2 linked regions of the Callithrix jacchus genome follow. The protein of the gene in region 2 interacts with the protein of the main gene of each other region in a pairwise test. Links are inferred from orthologs where the notes say so. Each region holds a gene or a part of one and is shown on either strand. Other genes may lie near its edges. The genes, in order: MOAP1 and LATS1.

What was found.
Region 1: the proteins of LATS1 (region 2) and MOAP1 interact in a two-hybrid assay, tested with the Homo sapiens proteins (2 studies listed by BioGRID and IntAct). The two-hybrid records come from large-scale screens. The link is inferred for Callithrix jacchus from reciprocal best matches to the Homo sapiens genes LATS1 and MOAP1.

The regions. Positions count from the first base shown.
Region 1 is NC_133509.1:127,994,012-128,002,237, reverse strand, and holds MOAP1 (modulator of apoptosis 1), read left to right. Parts: upstream 1-3,640; 5' UTR 3,641-3,712; coding exon 3,713-4,771; 3' UTR 4,772-5,746; downstream 5,747-8,226. Other genes in the region: LYSET (lysosomal enzyme trafficking factor), read right to left, coding at 1,317-1,728, 2,479-2,576; uncharacterized protein LOC103795890, read left to right, coding at 2,647-3,409, 3,593-3,615.
Region 2 is NC_133505.1:156,494,536-156,503,150, forward strand, and holds the start of LATS1 (serine/threonine-protein kinase LATS1), read right to left. Parts: upstream 4,433-8,615; 5' UTR 4,202-4,432; exon of another isoform or gene 3,856-4,201; intron 731-3,855; 5' UTR 547-730; intron 1-546. UniProt on the Homo sapiens protein: Negative regulator of YAP1 in the Hippo signaling pathway that plays a pivotal role in organ size control and tumor suppression by restricting proliferation and promoting apoptosis.

The sequences.
Region 1 (8,226 bases), on a different chromosome or scaffold from region 2:
AATCGGGAGGCGGATGTTGCAGAGAGCCACTGCCCTCCATCTTGGGCGACAGAGCAAGGCCCCATCTCTAAATAAATAAACAAACTGCTATATTCTCATTGAACACATTGCTTCCATCTTCTGTTTGTAAGTAATTTTAAGCCTTTCAACATTTAACATTTAGTCTCTTCCCAAATATTTTTTTTTTGAGATGGAGTTTTGCTCTTATTGCCCAGGCTGGAGTGCAGTGGTATGATCTCGACTCACCACAACCTCCGCCTCCCAGATTCAAGTGATCCTCCTGCCTCAGCCTCCCGAGTAGCTGGTATTACAGGAGCTTGCAATGAGCCCGGCTAATTCTGTATTTTTAGTAGAGACGGGTCTCTTCCATGTTGGTCAGGCTGGTCTTGAACTCCTGACCTCAGGTGATCCGCCCACTGCAGCCTCCCAAAGTGCTGGGATTACAAGGTGAGCCACCACGCCCAGCCTCCCCAAATAGTTTTCTAAATCAGTAGCATTGGGGCACATGTTCTTAGGGCCTCCTGAGGCTGTCACAAGTCATGGGAAAAAAATTTTTTTTTAATTAAAAATAGCTGGGCATGAGGGCTTACGCCTGAAATCCCAACGCTTAGGGAGCCAGAGCGGGGAGGAAAGCTTGAGCCCAGGGGTGTGAGACCAGCCTGGCAACACAGCAAGATCTCATTCTCCACTAAAATAAAAAAATATAAAAAACAAAACCAGTAGCATTAATAATAATTTAGCTAGCTATTACCAAGAGGAAGAATGAATTCTGCTTATCAAGACAGCCAACACCTCAATAACTTTTAGCAATTCCTCAAGCTGATAGCAAGTATAAACAGTTGGCTTAGCTACAACAGAATGAATTGGTGTGTTTTAGTGTGAAGAATTTTAAAGCAAACCAAGTAATTGTATAAAATTTAAATTTTATGATCATGTCTGGACCTTTTTACACTTAACACAATGGAAATGTTCATATGCATTTTTTTCCCCAAAGGAAAAATTTCTGAATCATCACTATGTTGCACAGTAGAATAGAAATATGAATTCAGGTACTTAGTCAAGTTTCTAAAGAATGCAAATAACAGATAAGATTTAACTTCCAAAGTCTAAAGTCATCAACATGATTTTGTAGTACTCTATCTCAGGCTTTACCTAAAAATTCATTATTCAGATAAAGATAGCCCCCCAATCACATGTTTTTAAAAAGCCTCTGCCCCACCACAACTTCCTGAGATCTGTGAAGAAACTACAGTCTTGTGATCAGACTCCATATAGTACTGGCAGTTTTGTAATCAGGGAAAAAACGGTGACTGATTTTATGTGTCAATCAGTTGTAGTCTGCTGATCTGATTAGATGCCTTGACAAATGCCTGGTGGCGATTGCAAATAACTGCCAAACATATAGGGATGATACAGTAGCCCACTGTTTTGGGATCAGCTCTTGTACAAGAGTAAAGGAACAAAAACATCTGTAAGTAAGGTACCAGAAAAATAATTGTCCACAGCCAAAAAGGCAAGGAGAGTAATCGAGCTTTCAAGGAGTGCGTCCATGTGGTTCCTTCAAGGGGCTCCTCAGGGTGCTGTTGAATGTGTTCCAATGCCAGCCTGTTGTAAGTCTCATTAATTTCAAAAACATAGTAAAATGCTGCTGCACTGGCTAACAGATATAATCCCACTCCAATCCATCCCATCCGCTGACGGAAGTTCATCATTCTCCATGCTCTGTGCCTTCAAATTAAAAAAAAAAATACAATTAGGGTCTAGTAATGCTGTCATGGCAACTATTCCAAATGTACTTGCTGTATCTCCAAGAATTCTAAAATATTCCACTAACACACTTAAGATTTAAAATAATTAAATGTAACACCTATTAAGAAATGTAAAACTTGCAGGTTGTTTTATGTAATAGTTACAAGCAAGTAAAAAAAAACTGATTTCAGTATACATTGAGTTTTTTTTTTTTTTTTTTTTTTTTTTTTTTTTTTTTTTTTTGAGAGTCTTGCTCTGTTGCCCAGGCTGGAGTGCAGTGGCACGATCTCGGCTCACTGCAACCTCCATCTCCTGGGTTCAAGCAGTTCTCCTACCTCATCCTCCCGAGTAGCTGGTATTACAGGTGCCTGCCCCCACGCCCAGCTAATTTTTGTAATTTTAGGAAAGACGGGGTTTCACCACGTTGGCCAGGCTGGTCTCAAACTCTTGACCTCAGGTTATTCTCCCGCCTCGGACTCCCAAAGTGCTGAGATTAAAGGTGTGAGCCACCGCCGAGTTCTGCTTTTTAATGGGAATCCCACAGAATAAACAGGTTCTACTTAAACAGGTTCAGAATACCCGCCCTCCAGAAACTGGAATTAAGCTAGTTTCCCACAGCACATTTCACTTTGACAGTTAAAATACTTTCTGGCTTAACAGTACTGCTTCAGACGTGAACACGGGGTGCTACAAGTCAAGACCCCAAGTTAATAACTCCTAAGCACTTACAATGGTCCCGAAAATCTTCCTGTTCCCACGGCAAGCGTTAAAGAGTCATTCAGCTCTGAATAATCGGGTGGCTTTGGCATTTCAGAGAAAGCCACCATAAAAATAAATCCCCTGGGTCACCCGGCTCAGAGAGAGGTGAGCGCCGCCAGCCCGAAGCACCAGCTACTAATGATTAAGAACGGCGTGACTGCGGCGGGTCACGCGCTGCCCGGTTCCCGTCGCCGCCGCCGGGGCCCCACTCTGGGAACCCGACCCGGCCGGGAGGCGTCCCAGCCACCTGGGCCTCCCGGCGGCCGGCCCCGCCCCCTACTGAGCTGCAGCACCTGCACGCAGCGACCAGGGCTGTGCAGGCGACGCCAGGCCGCGGCCTCGCCGCCCTGCAGCGCCGCGAGTTCAGCGCCAGTCAGCGGCCGCCGGCAGAGCCTGCCTGCAAAGCTGAGATCCCGGATCTCACCTTCCTGTCCCGGGTGGCCAGCCCGCCCGCCGTCCCGGATACCGCCGCAGTCGGGGCTTCCGGCTCGGGCCGGAAGCGCACGCGCCCCGCCCCCGGAGGCCCGCCCCGCTCATGACGTCAGAGCGCCTCTGCCAGACGCACAGCTTCTCGGAGCGAGAACAAAGCGGCCGAAGTTGGGGCTTGATACCCGGCTCTGGCGTTGCAGGTGGCAGCGCGTCCCTTCAGGCGGGCGGTTGTCTGGGCCTGGCGACTCAGCGCTCTTCAGCCTTGCCCTCTGGTTCCCGCTCGTGACTGTCATCGCCCCATCACTCCTTGCTGCGGAGAGCATCGCAGGGACTTGGAGGACCGGCATCGATCGCTTTGGCCCGCGAGTGTCCGTCCGAGCCGAGGGGAGCCCGCCTTCCCGCCCCTTCTCTGGGCCTGGCCAGGCACCTTGCCCGCCGTCGCACAGACGCGAGCACGGAGCAGTAGATCACGGTGAGGCGAAACAAGCCCGGAGCGGCCCTGTAGGCCGGACAACCGCTACGCAGTTGGGCTGGGCGGGGGGAGGGGCGCACGCCGCAATGCGGCAGACATGGCGTCGCCGCGGGGTGCAGGTCCCTCGGGGCTTAAGGCCTGCACGTTGGCACCTTTAGCTAACCCGTCTGCTCTGTCTTGCAGGCTGCTGGACCTCGCCACGTTGAGGAGATTTCTCTGGGGTACCGCGGAGGATTACTTTGAATTGCGGTGGCTACCTGTGGTCTGGAATATTTAGAACTTAAGTCTATTATTTCGGGCACCATGAGTTTGAGGCTTTTAGAAGACTGGTGCCGGGGGATGGACATGAGCCCTCGGAAAGCGCTGCTGATTGCCGGCATCCCCGAGAGCTGCAGTGTGGCAGAAATCGAGGAGGCTCTGCAGGCTGGTTTAGCTCCCCTAGGGGAGTATAGACTGCTTGGAAGGATGTTCAGGAGGGATGAGAACTGCAAAGTAGCCCTAGTTGGGCTTGCTGCGGAGACTAGTCGTGCACTGGTCCCTAAGGAGATACCGGGAAAAGGGGGTATCTGGAGAGTGCTCTTTAAGACCCCCGACCCAGATAATGATTTCCTAAGCAGATTAAATGAATTTTTAGAGGGAGAGGGCATGACAATGGGTGAGTTGACCAGAGCTCTTAGATATGAAAATGGCTCCTTAGACCTAGGGCAGGGCATGATCCCAGAAATGTGGGCCCCTATGTTGGCACAGGCATTAAATGAGGCTCTTGAGCCTGCCCTGCAGTACTTCCACTATAAAAAGCTGAGCGTGTTCTCAGGCAGTGATTCTCCAGAACCGGAAGAAGAAGAATTTGAACCCTGGCTGTTTCATACTACTCAGATGTTAAAGGTGTGGGAGGTGTCAGATGCAGAGAAGAGAAGGCGAGTGCTAGAGAGCCTTCGAGGCCCAGCACTTGATGTTATTCGTGTCCTCAAGATAAACAATCCTTTAATTACTGTTGATGAATGCCTGCAGGCTCTTGAGCAGGTATTTGGGGTTACAGATAGTCCTAGAGAGTTGCATGACAAATTTCTAAACACTTACCAGAAGGAGGAAGAAAAGTTATCTGATTATGTACTAAGGCTGGAGCCTTTGTTACAGAAGCTGGTACAGAAAGGAGCAATTGAGAGAGATGCTGTGAATCAGGCCCGCCTAGACCAAGTCATTGCTGGGGCAGTCCACAGAACAGTTCGCAGAGAGCTTAATCTGCCGGAGGATGGCCCAGCCCCTAGTTTATTGCAGTTACTGGTACTAATAAAGGATTATGAAGCAGCTGAGGAGGAGGAGGCCCTTCTCCAGGCAGTATTAGACGGGCATTTCACCTGAATCTCAGGGAATCACGAAGGGATATAGCAATGAGCAGAGCATGAAAGTAGAACAGTCTGTACTCTTGTGACACATAAAATCCCTGCCTTGTGCTGCCAAGTTACTCGTTTTTGTGCAGTTGTCAGTATAAGCCCTTTGTTATTTCTGTGCCTATTTAAGATCTAAAGGTGTCAGTGACCAGGAAGGATGTAGTTCTACACTGCTGTTTACCTATTTAAATTCATTCCTGTGAATATCTTGTTTGTTGTCGTTGAGACTGAGTCTTGCTCTGTCGCACAGGCTGGAATGCAGTGACGCAATCTTGACCCACTGCACGCTCCACCTCCCGGGTTTAAGTGATTCTCCTGCCCCAGTCTCCTGAGTAGCTGGGACTACAGGTGTGTGCTGCCACACCCAGCTAATTTTTGTACTTTCGGTAGAGACAGGGTTTCACCATGTTGGCCAGGCTGGTCTCGAACCCCTGACCTCAAGTGATCAACCTGCCTCGGCCTCCAAAAGTGCTGGGATTATAGGTGTGAGCCACCGTGCCTGGCTTCATCCCTGTGAATTTCTTATTGTACAAAAGTTCTTTAACTACCTGTGTACAGTGCTCTGAGGGGACAGACAAGGCTCAGGTGCATATGCTGATCAAATCTCATTGAACTGTCAGCTTGTTTGGTACCAAGTGCAAGTGTGCCATGTCACATGTGACCATGTTGGATCATTAACAATTTTTAGGTATGTGCTAACCTACATTTATGGTGTAGATTATGAGTGGAGGTTAAGATACTAAGTTATTATCTGTATGAATCAGAATTATATTGATTCTGTACAAAAACAAAAGACAGAATTGAATGCTGATTTAAGTTTGCAGTGACCATCTTTAACCACAGATTTCTGCTATGTGTTACCAAAATATCTAGTTCTGAGTATCATTTTCACAATTGTTATGAAATTATAGGTGTGAACTTCTAAAATAAAAGAATGCTAATAAAATGATTTTGTCTGTTTTGTTTATATCAGGGTTCCAAGAGAGATTTCATTTGAATAAAGAGTTCCCAGAGCATTAATCTGCAAACCACTGAACCTACACAGACTTAGTTCCCAGGATTCTTTCCACTTGGTGCTGAGGGGTAGGAAATTGTTTTCTAAGTGAGATTGCTGAGGGGACCTTCTGCTGAAGCAGTAAAACAATTATATTACTGCTTCTACTGTAATATTAACTGACATGCACTCTGAATAGATTAGAAGGTGTAATTCTGATCTTGTTTATATATGTGTAGTCATTTGGAGCATACAGGCACTGTGACATGGGCCACTCACTTGCCCCCTCAGTAGTGGGAAGCAGACATGGTGAATTTGTGCACAAACAAGTGTTAATATGTGTTGCACCTCTCCATCTGTGAGGCACTAAGCTGAGGGCTTAAGACTGCGTCATTACATTTAGACTACAGTCCCTGCCCTGGAGGTCAGTGATGATAGCTCTGTTGAACACCAGATACGGAGCACCAGTGAACACGTTTGGTGCCCCCACAAGCTCAGTCTTTTATTTTCCCCATTGTACGTATGAGACTGAGAAGCTAAGTAACTTGCCCAGGGTTTCACAGCTAGTGAGTGGCAAGGCTCAGACACTTCCAGAGTTTTTGATCTTAATGTATTCCGTGCTGCCTTATTCAGAAACCTACTGTTTCCCCATTTTACAGATGAGAAGCTTGAGGATCAGAAAGATTCAATGCCAGGGGCAAGGGCTCATAGTGTGATTCCACAAAGCCGTTATTAAGGTGTTCTGACATGTATCTGGTAAACACTACCTAATTTTTGTTTGTTTATGGAATCATGTAAAATAAAATACACTCCCCTTAAATAGCTATGTTTCAACTGGGCGTGGTGGCTCACGCCTGTAATCCCAACACTTTGGGAGGCCCAGGTAAGTGAATCACCTGAGGTCAGGAGTTTGAGACCAGCCTGGCCAACATGGTGAAACCCTGTCCCTAAGAAAAATACAAAAAATTAGCTGGGCATGGTGGCGGGTGCCTGTAATCCCATCTACTTCGGAGGCTGAGGCAGGAGAATTGCTTGAGCCCAGGAGGTGGAGGCTGCAGTGAGCCGAGCTTGTGCCACTCTCCAGCCTAGGTGACAGAGCGAGACTCCACCTCAAAAAGAAAGAAAAGAAAGGAAACCATCGCAGATCACAGACTAGAGACTAAGGATAGAGGTGGTGAACTAAATGTAATGTGTCCCAGAAGGGATCTTGGAACAGATAAAGGGCATGAGTGGAAGAGTGGGATCCAAGTGTACTTAGGAAGTCAGAGCTAACAGTAATGTGCCAATGTCAGTTTCCTGGAGGAGCCAAATGTACCATGGAAATGTGAAGTAACAATTGGGGAAAGTAGGTGAGAATACAGGCGCTCTCTGCACTCTTTCTAACTTATCTGTAAGCCTAAAACTGCTATAAATAAATAAAATGTTCATTGAAATACATACATATCTTGGGTTCCTAGGTGTTTCAGCAAAAAGAGTAAAAAATAAAATTTAAAAAAGAAGGGCTGGGTGTGGTGGCTCACGCCTATAATCCCAGCACTGGGAGCCGGGGCAGGTGGATCATTTGAGCCCAGGAGTTCAAGGCCGACCAGGCCAACACAGTGAAACCCCATCTCTACAAAACCTCATGTGATGGCGCGTGTTTGTGGTCCCAACTACTTGGGAGGCTGAGGTGGGAGGAGCTCTTGAGGTGGGAAGTCGAGGCTGCAGTGAGCCGAGATCGCACCACTGCAATCCATCCAGCCTGAGCGACAGAGCAAGACCCTGCTCAAAAATAAAAATAAAAAATCTATGTAGATACACACATATGGACAGATGCATGCTAATAGCAAATGACCTGGGATGCCAACCAGTAAAATAAGTTGTTTCATTCATTGAAACACCACTAGGTGGCAGTTAGCACAAAGAGCAGGCCCCAGCCAAGCCAAAGCAGGGAAAGGGATTCTTACGTAAACAGGGTCCTATCTAACCCCGGACAACTAGAACATTACTCAAGCTTTTATGCAGAAAATATTTTTCAGTACTCAGTCTAGGACAATGACTTCTCTCTTTAAGGTTCATGATACTTCTAAAATTTTCTAATTCACTGGTAAGAGAGGCCTGACCTCAGCAAATGGATTGATCCCGGTCTGTTTAATTGAGAACATTCTTCGTGATTCCACTTCATTCTCAGCCACAGCTTCTCTCGACACTGGAAACCAGATCAACCTCTGAAAGTCACTTATTTTAAAGACAATAAAATTGAGGTTCAAAGCACTACGGAGCTATGGTGGGTTCCCACAGGCTCTCCTTCTGCCACAGCCAGCCAGCCTCACTCAGCTTTTAGAGGTGTCAGATTTTTGTTTTGTTTTTTTGAGACCAAGTCTTACTCTGTCACCCAGGCTGGAATGCAGTCTAAGCTCACTGCAACCTCTGCCTCCCGGGTTCAAGCAATT
Region 2 (8,615 bases):
TTCCATATAACTACAAGGTCAGTGAGCATACAAAGAGGCTACTGACCTTCAATTTTATAAAAAAAAGAGTTTGGAAAAGAGGATCTTGGAAGCAAATATTGACTGCTATTGTATATTTGGCAAAGTATTATAAGTAAATGATGAGCTCAAGAAAGCAGCAGCAGATTTCAAAGCAAAAACAGAAGGGAATAGAATATGTTCAGAAATTTAAACTCTCAAAGGATTGGAAAAGCAACTTGCACCTAGACCTGCAGAGGCAGGATGAAGACTGAGTACAGATATCTGCTGAAAACTCTTAGCTAACTACTGCTTCAGGGATAAAGAACACCTTAAGGATGTAGCCTTCCTGTCAAACCTAATAGCCTCAAATAACCAAATGAGTAAGACTCCATCTCAAAAAAAAAAAAAATTTTTTTCTTAAATCATCTCAAGTTCAGACTAAAAAACTCTTTGTCTATTCAAAATTTAAAACCCTTTGGCACCCAACTTCTAAGAACAACAAGCTAGTTGAGAAAGATTTGTACTTTCCAAAGGGAGGATACTCACCCAACACACACTTCACAGGTCATGGAAAACGATGAGAGAGTTCCTTCCAAATAAATCAAGGTCCAATCTCCCCTACCTCCAGGACTGGTTGCTTACACAGAATCTGCTGCTTATCTCTCATTAGTCTCCTTTTCTAGGAGTACGGCTTACTGTGGCCTTCCTAGCAGTATTCTACTCTTGTGTACTGTGGTGAGTAAGGGGAAGAGAAAAGGAAGAGAGATAGAGAGAAAGAGATACAGTGAGAGAGAGACAGCAAGAGAGCATACACATGACACACAGGACACATTACTTCACAGGTCCCTGGAGCAAGAGGAACCATATCTGGACCTGATTAAGAGATTTGGGCATGTGGACCAAAGGACCTATGAATCTTGCCTCTGTCACTGATTAGGGTCCTATTTGTTAGCAAAAGAATAACATAATACCAGGAACATCATTCCACAGTAATAGGTGTCATGTTTCTTTTTATTTTATTTATTTTTAAATAGAAATGAGGGTCTCTCATCTCTATTGATGAGGCTGGTCTCAAACTCCTGGCCTCAAGCGATGCTCCCACCTTGGCCTTCCAAAGTGTTGGGATTACAGGCGTGAGCCACCATGCTTGGCCAGTATCATGTTTGTTTGATTCTAAGCATGCTGTTCTACATTTTAATATTTCTAAAATTTAGGGCCAGGTGCAGTGGCTCATGACTGTAATCCCAAAACTTTTAAAGGCTGAAGTGGGTGGATCTCTTGATCCCAGCTGTTTGAGATTAGCCTGAGCAACAAAGGGAGACCCTGTCTCTACAAAAAATAGAAAAAAAAAAAAAAAAAAAAACAAAACACAGCCAAGTATGTTGGTGTGCACCTGCAGTCCCAGCTACTGGGGAGGCTGAGGCTGCAGTGAGCCGTGACTGTGCTACTACACTCTCCAGCCTAAGCATCAGAGCAAGACTCGAACTCTGTCCCACAAAAAATAAATAAATAGAGTATATCTTGAGATCAACGTTAAAAGATATTTTTCAGGTCCACAGCAGAGAAGTTCTGGAGTAGCGGTCATTGCACGTGCGTAACTTAGCCATAAATAAAAGACGAAATCTCCTTGTTACCTCAATTGTATTATTTTCTCTTTTTTTGAGACAGAGTCTTGCTCTGTGGCCCAGCTTGGAGTGCAGTGGCATGATCTCTGCTCACTGCAACCTTCACCTCCTGGGTTCAAGCAATTCTCCTGCCTCAGCCTCCCAAGTAGCTGGGATTACAGGCACACACCATTATACACAGCTATTTTTTTGTATTTTTAGTAGAGATGTTTCACCATCTTTTTTTTTTTTTTTAAAGACAGGGTTTCACTGTATTGGCCAGGATGATCTCAATCTTCTGACCTTGTGATCTGCCTGCCTCGGCCTCCCAAAGTGCTGGGATTACAGGCGTGAGCCACCATGCCCAGCTACTCCGTAACTTTCAATGATTTTTAACCTAATCGTTAAAAGTAAGAGCTCTGGAATCAAACTGCCTGGGTATGACAAATCTCTATTTTTTTTTTGAGACGGAGTTTCACTCTTGTTATCCAGGCTGAAGTGCAATGGTGCGATCTCGGCTCACCGCAACCTCCGCCTCCTGGGTTCAGGCAATTCTCCTGCCTCAGCCTCCTGAGTAGCTGGGATTACAGGCACGCGCCACCATACCCAGCTAATTTTTTTTGTATTTTTAGTAGAGATGAGGTTTCATCATGTTGACCAGGAAGGTCTCGATCTCTTGACCTCATGATCCATCCGCCTCGGCCTCCCAAAGTGCTGGGATTACAGGCTTGAGCCACCACGCCTGGCCTTATTATTATTTTTTAAAGTTCAGACCCTCATCAAAAATACAAACGACAAACAAGTATCATCCATTAGTTTGTCCAACTTTGGAAAAAAACAGGTACCATTACATAAGATTGGGTTGAATTAAGTTTATCAGAAAGGTACCCTAGCTGGGTGCAGTAGTGCGCCTGTAGTCCCAGCTACTTGAGAGGCTGTGGTGGGAGGACTGTTCAAGCCCAGGAGTTGGAATCCAGCACAGGCAACATAGCGAGTCCCCATTTAAAAAAAAAAAAAGATGACTATGTCATAGCTTTGACCAGATCAGTAATAAGGACAGCAACAATAATATGTGCTGTTTCTTTTTTTAGCAGCATAGTCTCATTCGTATAAACAGCGATATTCAGGAAACTGGATACTGACATTTTCTTCTGTTCACTTTCTAATAATTGTGGGATCAAAAGTGAAAAATGCTGAAAAAGGACTGCTGCTTCTACTTGGTGGAAATGTTATTCAATGACTAACTTTTGTGATGTATAACAATCTCCCACTAATATAAATAAAACATCTAGAATAAATAACCAGAGTTAGAACCATTCCAAGACTATGTATACAGCATAACAAGGACTAGCAATAAAAACAAAAATAAAAACGACCTACACAATGAAAGCCAGATATTATACATTTAAAATACAGCCAAAAAAATTTTTTTTACTTGTTTTTGGAGAGCAACAAGTCATATTCAATCAATATTTAGGCACAGAATGTGCTGTTCCAGGAATGGACCATGATCTAGTTTCTTGCAGTAGCAGCCAATGGAACTAACACAATGCTACTTCTTTCACTGTTCAAACTCTTCCACTGCCTTAGGGAATCAACTACCCCATTTTACCATCAGAGATAAGCTTTGTTTTCGTAGCAGAGAACATTCATTCCAACTATAATGTCCTACCTTTTCTTCCTCATGAAGGAAAATGGATAAAAATTTTTAACCTTCAATAAACAATTCGTAAAGGTCTGACAAGCTTCATGATCACTAACATTCAAATTCATTTCCAAAACTGGAGTTATACAGTATTATTTCTGTGCAGGAGACTATACTTACTGTTCACAAGATTTATGAATAACTTCTGGAGGATGATATATGTTTTATAAGTTGTATTAACATATGAGTTGACAAACATTAAATTATGTTCCATTAGAAATTGACAGAGAAGTCAGAATGGGGATTAAGTCATCTGGAAGTCATTCATTGAGCTACAAGCCCTTTCAGGTTATAAAAAACGCTGTTCCCTAAATTGTCGTTCCTTCATTTTCTGTATTTATATACACACCCCTACTCCGTAAAGACCTCTCCACCTCTCCCACCATTTCCAACTATGAACAGTAACCTTTATCACATTGAACTAGAAATAAGAGACTCCCAGGATTTCTTCAAGATACACCCAGGATCAGAGCCCTCTGGGATTCAAAAAACTGTAGCTCTTTCACTGCAAATTTCCTTCAGAACCACCTTTCCCGTTCCTTCCCTGTGGACACCGCCGACCCGCGTTTGGGGGTGGGGTGGGAGACAGTCGGCGCAAGGCCGCCAGCAAGGTAGGCTCTTCCCTGCCCAACGTGCACTTCCGAGGCCGAAATGCCCGGGGCTCTTCCTGCAGCACCGGGCGCGGCCAACCCTCGCTTCCCCAGGGCAGGGCTCAGCTCAGGTCAATGCAACCAGCCCAGTCAGGCCCGGAGCGGGCCGCCGCGGCCCGCCAGTCCACAGCAACCTCTGGACCCCCGCCAGCGGGGATGGGCGTGGGCCCCAGCGGCCACCGCCCCGCCAACTCCAGCTCGGGAGAAGTGAGCCCCACCCGCTACGCCAGCCCCGGACCTACCTGGAGGGGAAAGGAGAGCTCCTGGACAGCGGCCACCGGCCCGAGGGCGGGCGCCTAGACGGCCGGAGCCCGTCCCAGCAACCCCAAGTATCCCTGGTGGGGCAGAGCGGGTAGAGACGCCGGAGGGCTGCCGCGGGCCACTGTGGCCCGTCGCGGGGGTCCCGAGGACCTGGCTCTCCCCTTAACACCAGGCCACTGCCGCCGCCGCCATTTTGCCTTCCACTCAATGTCGCCGCCGCCGCACTCCGTTGCAGGTTTCCCGGATGTGGGCATTTCCCGGCGTCGCTTGCGCGGGGGCCGAAGACTGGGGGCTTCTGCCCGCCCGGCAGCAGCTAGGGAGCGCGCAACCGAGGCCTCTGGGCCTCGTTGCGTGGCCCGCCGCTCAGAGCCTTCGTGAGCGTCGCCCCACGTCGCTCCCGCCTGCCCTGCCCAGAAGACTCGCCCGCGGCCGTGGGTTAAGGCTCTCTCCTGCCCAGCCCACTCGGTTGATTGAATCCTTTTTCCCATTGATCTCTTTCTCTGGACCGAGTAGGGATGCGCATTTCACGGAGCTTCGTTCTCCGAAGGGAACAACTGTTGAGTTGTTCTGGGAAACTTCGCTGTGGACCTCAAAATTCGAGTTTTGGCGCTTTGAAATAAAATTTTATTCTTGCTTAGCGTTCTTTCCCCGAACAAGCCCATGAGGTTCCAGCATCTGTATTTTCTGAATCAGCCAAGAAGAAGTTCTTGAGCCAGGACCGATTAGCAGAGTTTAGAGATCTGACCTGTCAACTGCATCCGTAGGAGGAGGTCGTTATTGCCTAACTGGAATAACGGTGACGGTGTGACAAGACAAGAGGTTTTACTTCTAGTAAAGTTGAATAGAAAATCTGGGATGGGATCACTGGGTTTGATGTGTAAGGTACTGTCCACCCTTTGTGAAGAGTGCCTTTGCCAGTTTTTCCTCTAGAAAATATAGTGTTTTCAAGTAACTTCTTTCGTAATTTTTCTACTATAGACTACAAAAAAATTACAGACGTCTTTTTCTGATGTTAAAGTAATAACTGGCTGCTTACTGTATTCAGAAATCCAAATGTGAAAACCTGTTAAAAGATTATGTTCCGCTGGCCATGGTGGCTCACGCTTGTAATCCCAGCACTTTGGGAGGCCAGGCAGGCGGATCACAAAGTCAGGAGTTCAAGACCAGCATGGCCAACACAGTGAAACCCCGTCTCTACTAAAAATACAAAAATTAGTTGGGCATGGTGGTGCACACCTGTAGTCCCAGCTACTCGGGAGGCTGAGGCAGGAGAATCTCTTGAATCAAGGAGGTAGAGGTTGCAGTGAGCCGCACCACTGCACTCCAGCTTAGCACTTTGGGACCCCAAGGCAAGTAGATTGCTTGAGTCCAGGAGTTCAAGACCAGCCTGGGCAATATAGTGAAACCCCATTTCAATAAAAATTGCAAACAATAATCAGGCTTGGTGGTACATGTCTGTAGTCCAGATACTTGGGAGACCGAGGTGGGAGAATCACTTGGGCCCAGGAAGTCAAGGCTGCAGTGAACCAGGGATCACACTACTGCACTCCGGCCTAAGTGAGAGTTAAATCTTGTCTCAAACATCTTTCCTAATCAATGGGATTAAAATGGAGAGAGCATGCTGGGCCAATTATGTAGAAAATAATTAGCTTCTACAAAAGATACAAAGAAAATTGTTAGTCCTTTCCTATATTGAAATGAAATTTTTCTTAGAACAAGAAGGATAGGCCCATATTAAGGATTAAAAACCATCTGTATTAACTCCTGAATATAGGAAGTGTGGCTTAGGAGAATCACATGTGAACACTTCAGAAAGCGGAGACAGCATTACAAAGGAATATTATTCCTAGAAAAACGATGGCAAGGTTTCTGTCATAATCAGCAAAGACAATGATGAAAAAGTGTTTATCTTGGAAGTCACACTTAAAAGGGCCTCTGGCCGAGTGTGGTAACTTATGCTTGTAATCCCAGCAGTTTGGGAGACTGTGGCAGGTATACCACGTGAGGTCAGGAGTTTGAGACCAGCCTGGCCTATGTGGTAAACCCCATCTCTACTAAAAATACAAAAAAATTAGCCGGGTGTGGTGGCACACACCTGTAATCCGTGCTACTAGGGAGGCTGAGACAGGAGAATCGCTTGAACCGGGAAGCAGAGATTCCAGTGAGCGGAGATCGTGCCATTGCACTCCAGCCTGGGTGAGGGAGACTTAGACTCAAAAAAAGAAGGAAAAAAAAGAGGACCTTTGACAAAGAGGAGTATTTTTTAAAGGGACAACAAGATTGTGAGTTTAGCTCAGGTCAGTTAATAGTGATTCATTGCTTACTATGGTTCAGATACTGTTAAACACTATACACTTGATCTTGTAGCCCAGTAGGGGGAGACAGGCTCCTTAACACATTGCTTTGAGCACAATTTAAATTCTGCACAATGGGCTTTTGAAGCAGAGTGCAACTTAGTCCAGATTGCTGGAGGCCAGTAAAAGCTGTCTGGAGAAAATGACACCTAGAAGGAGTCTTGAAGGATAAGAAGGATTTAGCCAAAAATGACAAGAAACAGTAAGAAGGAAACCTTCACTGGAGAGACTATAATAATCACTTTTGAATATTTGAATATGAAAGGAATTTTGTGTGGGTGGCTCCTGAGGTAAGACAAATGAAAGCAAATTTCAGTTCAGTATATGAAAATTCATTTATTTAGTGAAACCCTATGGTAAAGGATCCCAACACAGATTAGATTCAAATATAACGTAATTGGTGATTGGCTCATCTCATAGGCTCACATGATCAGTGTGTTAACATTACACCAGGACTGTACCTTTTTACAGGATTGTTTTGGGTCCCACTCTTACACTAAAATCCTGCCATAATGCTGTATCAATTAGAGCTGTTCAAATGTGAAGCCTCATTGGAAAATGGGAATATTTATCACCATATATATACATATATTTTTTGAGATGCAGTTTCACTCTTTCGCCTAGGCTGGAGTAAAGTGGTGTGATCTCGGCTCACTGCAACCTCTACCCCTGGGTTCAAGCGATTCTCTTCCCTCAGCCTCCTGAGTAGCTGAGATTATAGATGCCTGCCACCATGCCCAGCTACTTTATTTTTGCATTTTTAGTAGCAACCGGGTTCTGGCATGTTGGCCAGGCTGATCTTGAACTCCTGACCTCAGGTGACCCACCCACCTTGGCCTCCCAAAGTGCTAGGATTACAGGCGTGAGCCACCATATGTTTTTAAGTATAGGGTAGATGATACTTTTTTGGGAATTTGTTGGGAAAACTGTAGAAGGAATCATGAATTTTAGGCTGGAGATGCTCGCCAAGGTACTTTCTACCTCTAAGAACCTGCAACCCTTGAAAGAAACTATAGTTTAATAAAGGCAGTGACAATGAACAGATTCATAAATTATGGTGTTATATTACATATAGCTTAGTTTCTTATTAAAATTGGCAGAACTTGTCAATTGGCATGAAATGTAACACTGTTAAAATGTATTCCTCTTATGGTTACAAATACCCTGAAAGCCTTAAAGCCTCTACCACTTACTCACTTATAATGATCAACGGAAATTTTATATATGGCTGCTAGAAATTGAGAAGATGTTAGCAACATATATGAAAACTTCAGAGTTTTCGGCAGTGGTCATTACAGATAAAAACAGAAGAGGCTGGGCTCGATGATTCTTGCCTGTAACCCCAGCATTCTGGGAAATCAAGGTGGATGGACTACTTGAGGTCAGGTGTTCAAGACCAGCCTGACCTACATGGCGAAACCCTGTCTCTACTAAAATTACAAAAAAATTAGCCAGGTATGGTGGTGTGTGTCTGTAATCCTAGATACTTGGGAGGCTGAGGCAGAACTGCTTGAACCTGGGAGGTGAAAGTTGCAGTGAGCTGAGATCAGGCCACTGCATTCCAGTATGGGTGACAGAGCGACTCCATTTAAAAAAAAAGAGAGAGAAAAGAAAGGTGAGGTGAGGCAAAAACAGGCTTACTATTCACAATACATGGAAAATGTGCCACCTAAGAGCCAGGGTCTTTTCCATGAATGAGAATGAGTTTGAGGCCCATTCACAGCAAGGATGTTAGCCTGCTGAGTAGGATCTGAGGGTGCCTGCACTGGGCAGAGAGGGCCACCGCCTCAGCAGGCTTTAGGCTATGCTAATAGCCATTTGTACAAAGGGAAATAGAAGGGCAAAGGAAAATCCACAGTTATGGTGTTTTTAAAAAATTATTATTTATTTATTTATTTTTGAGGCAGGGTGTCACTCTGCCACCCAGGCTGGAGTGCACTGGTACAACCATGGCTCACTGCAACCTTCATCTCCCAGGCTCAAGCAATCCTTCCAGTTCAGCCTCCTGAGTAGCTAGAACCACAGGCACAAGTCACCATGC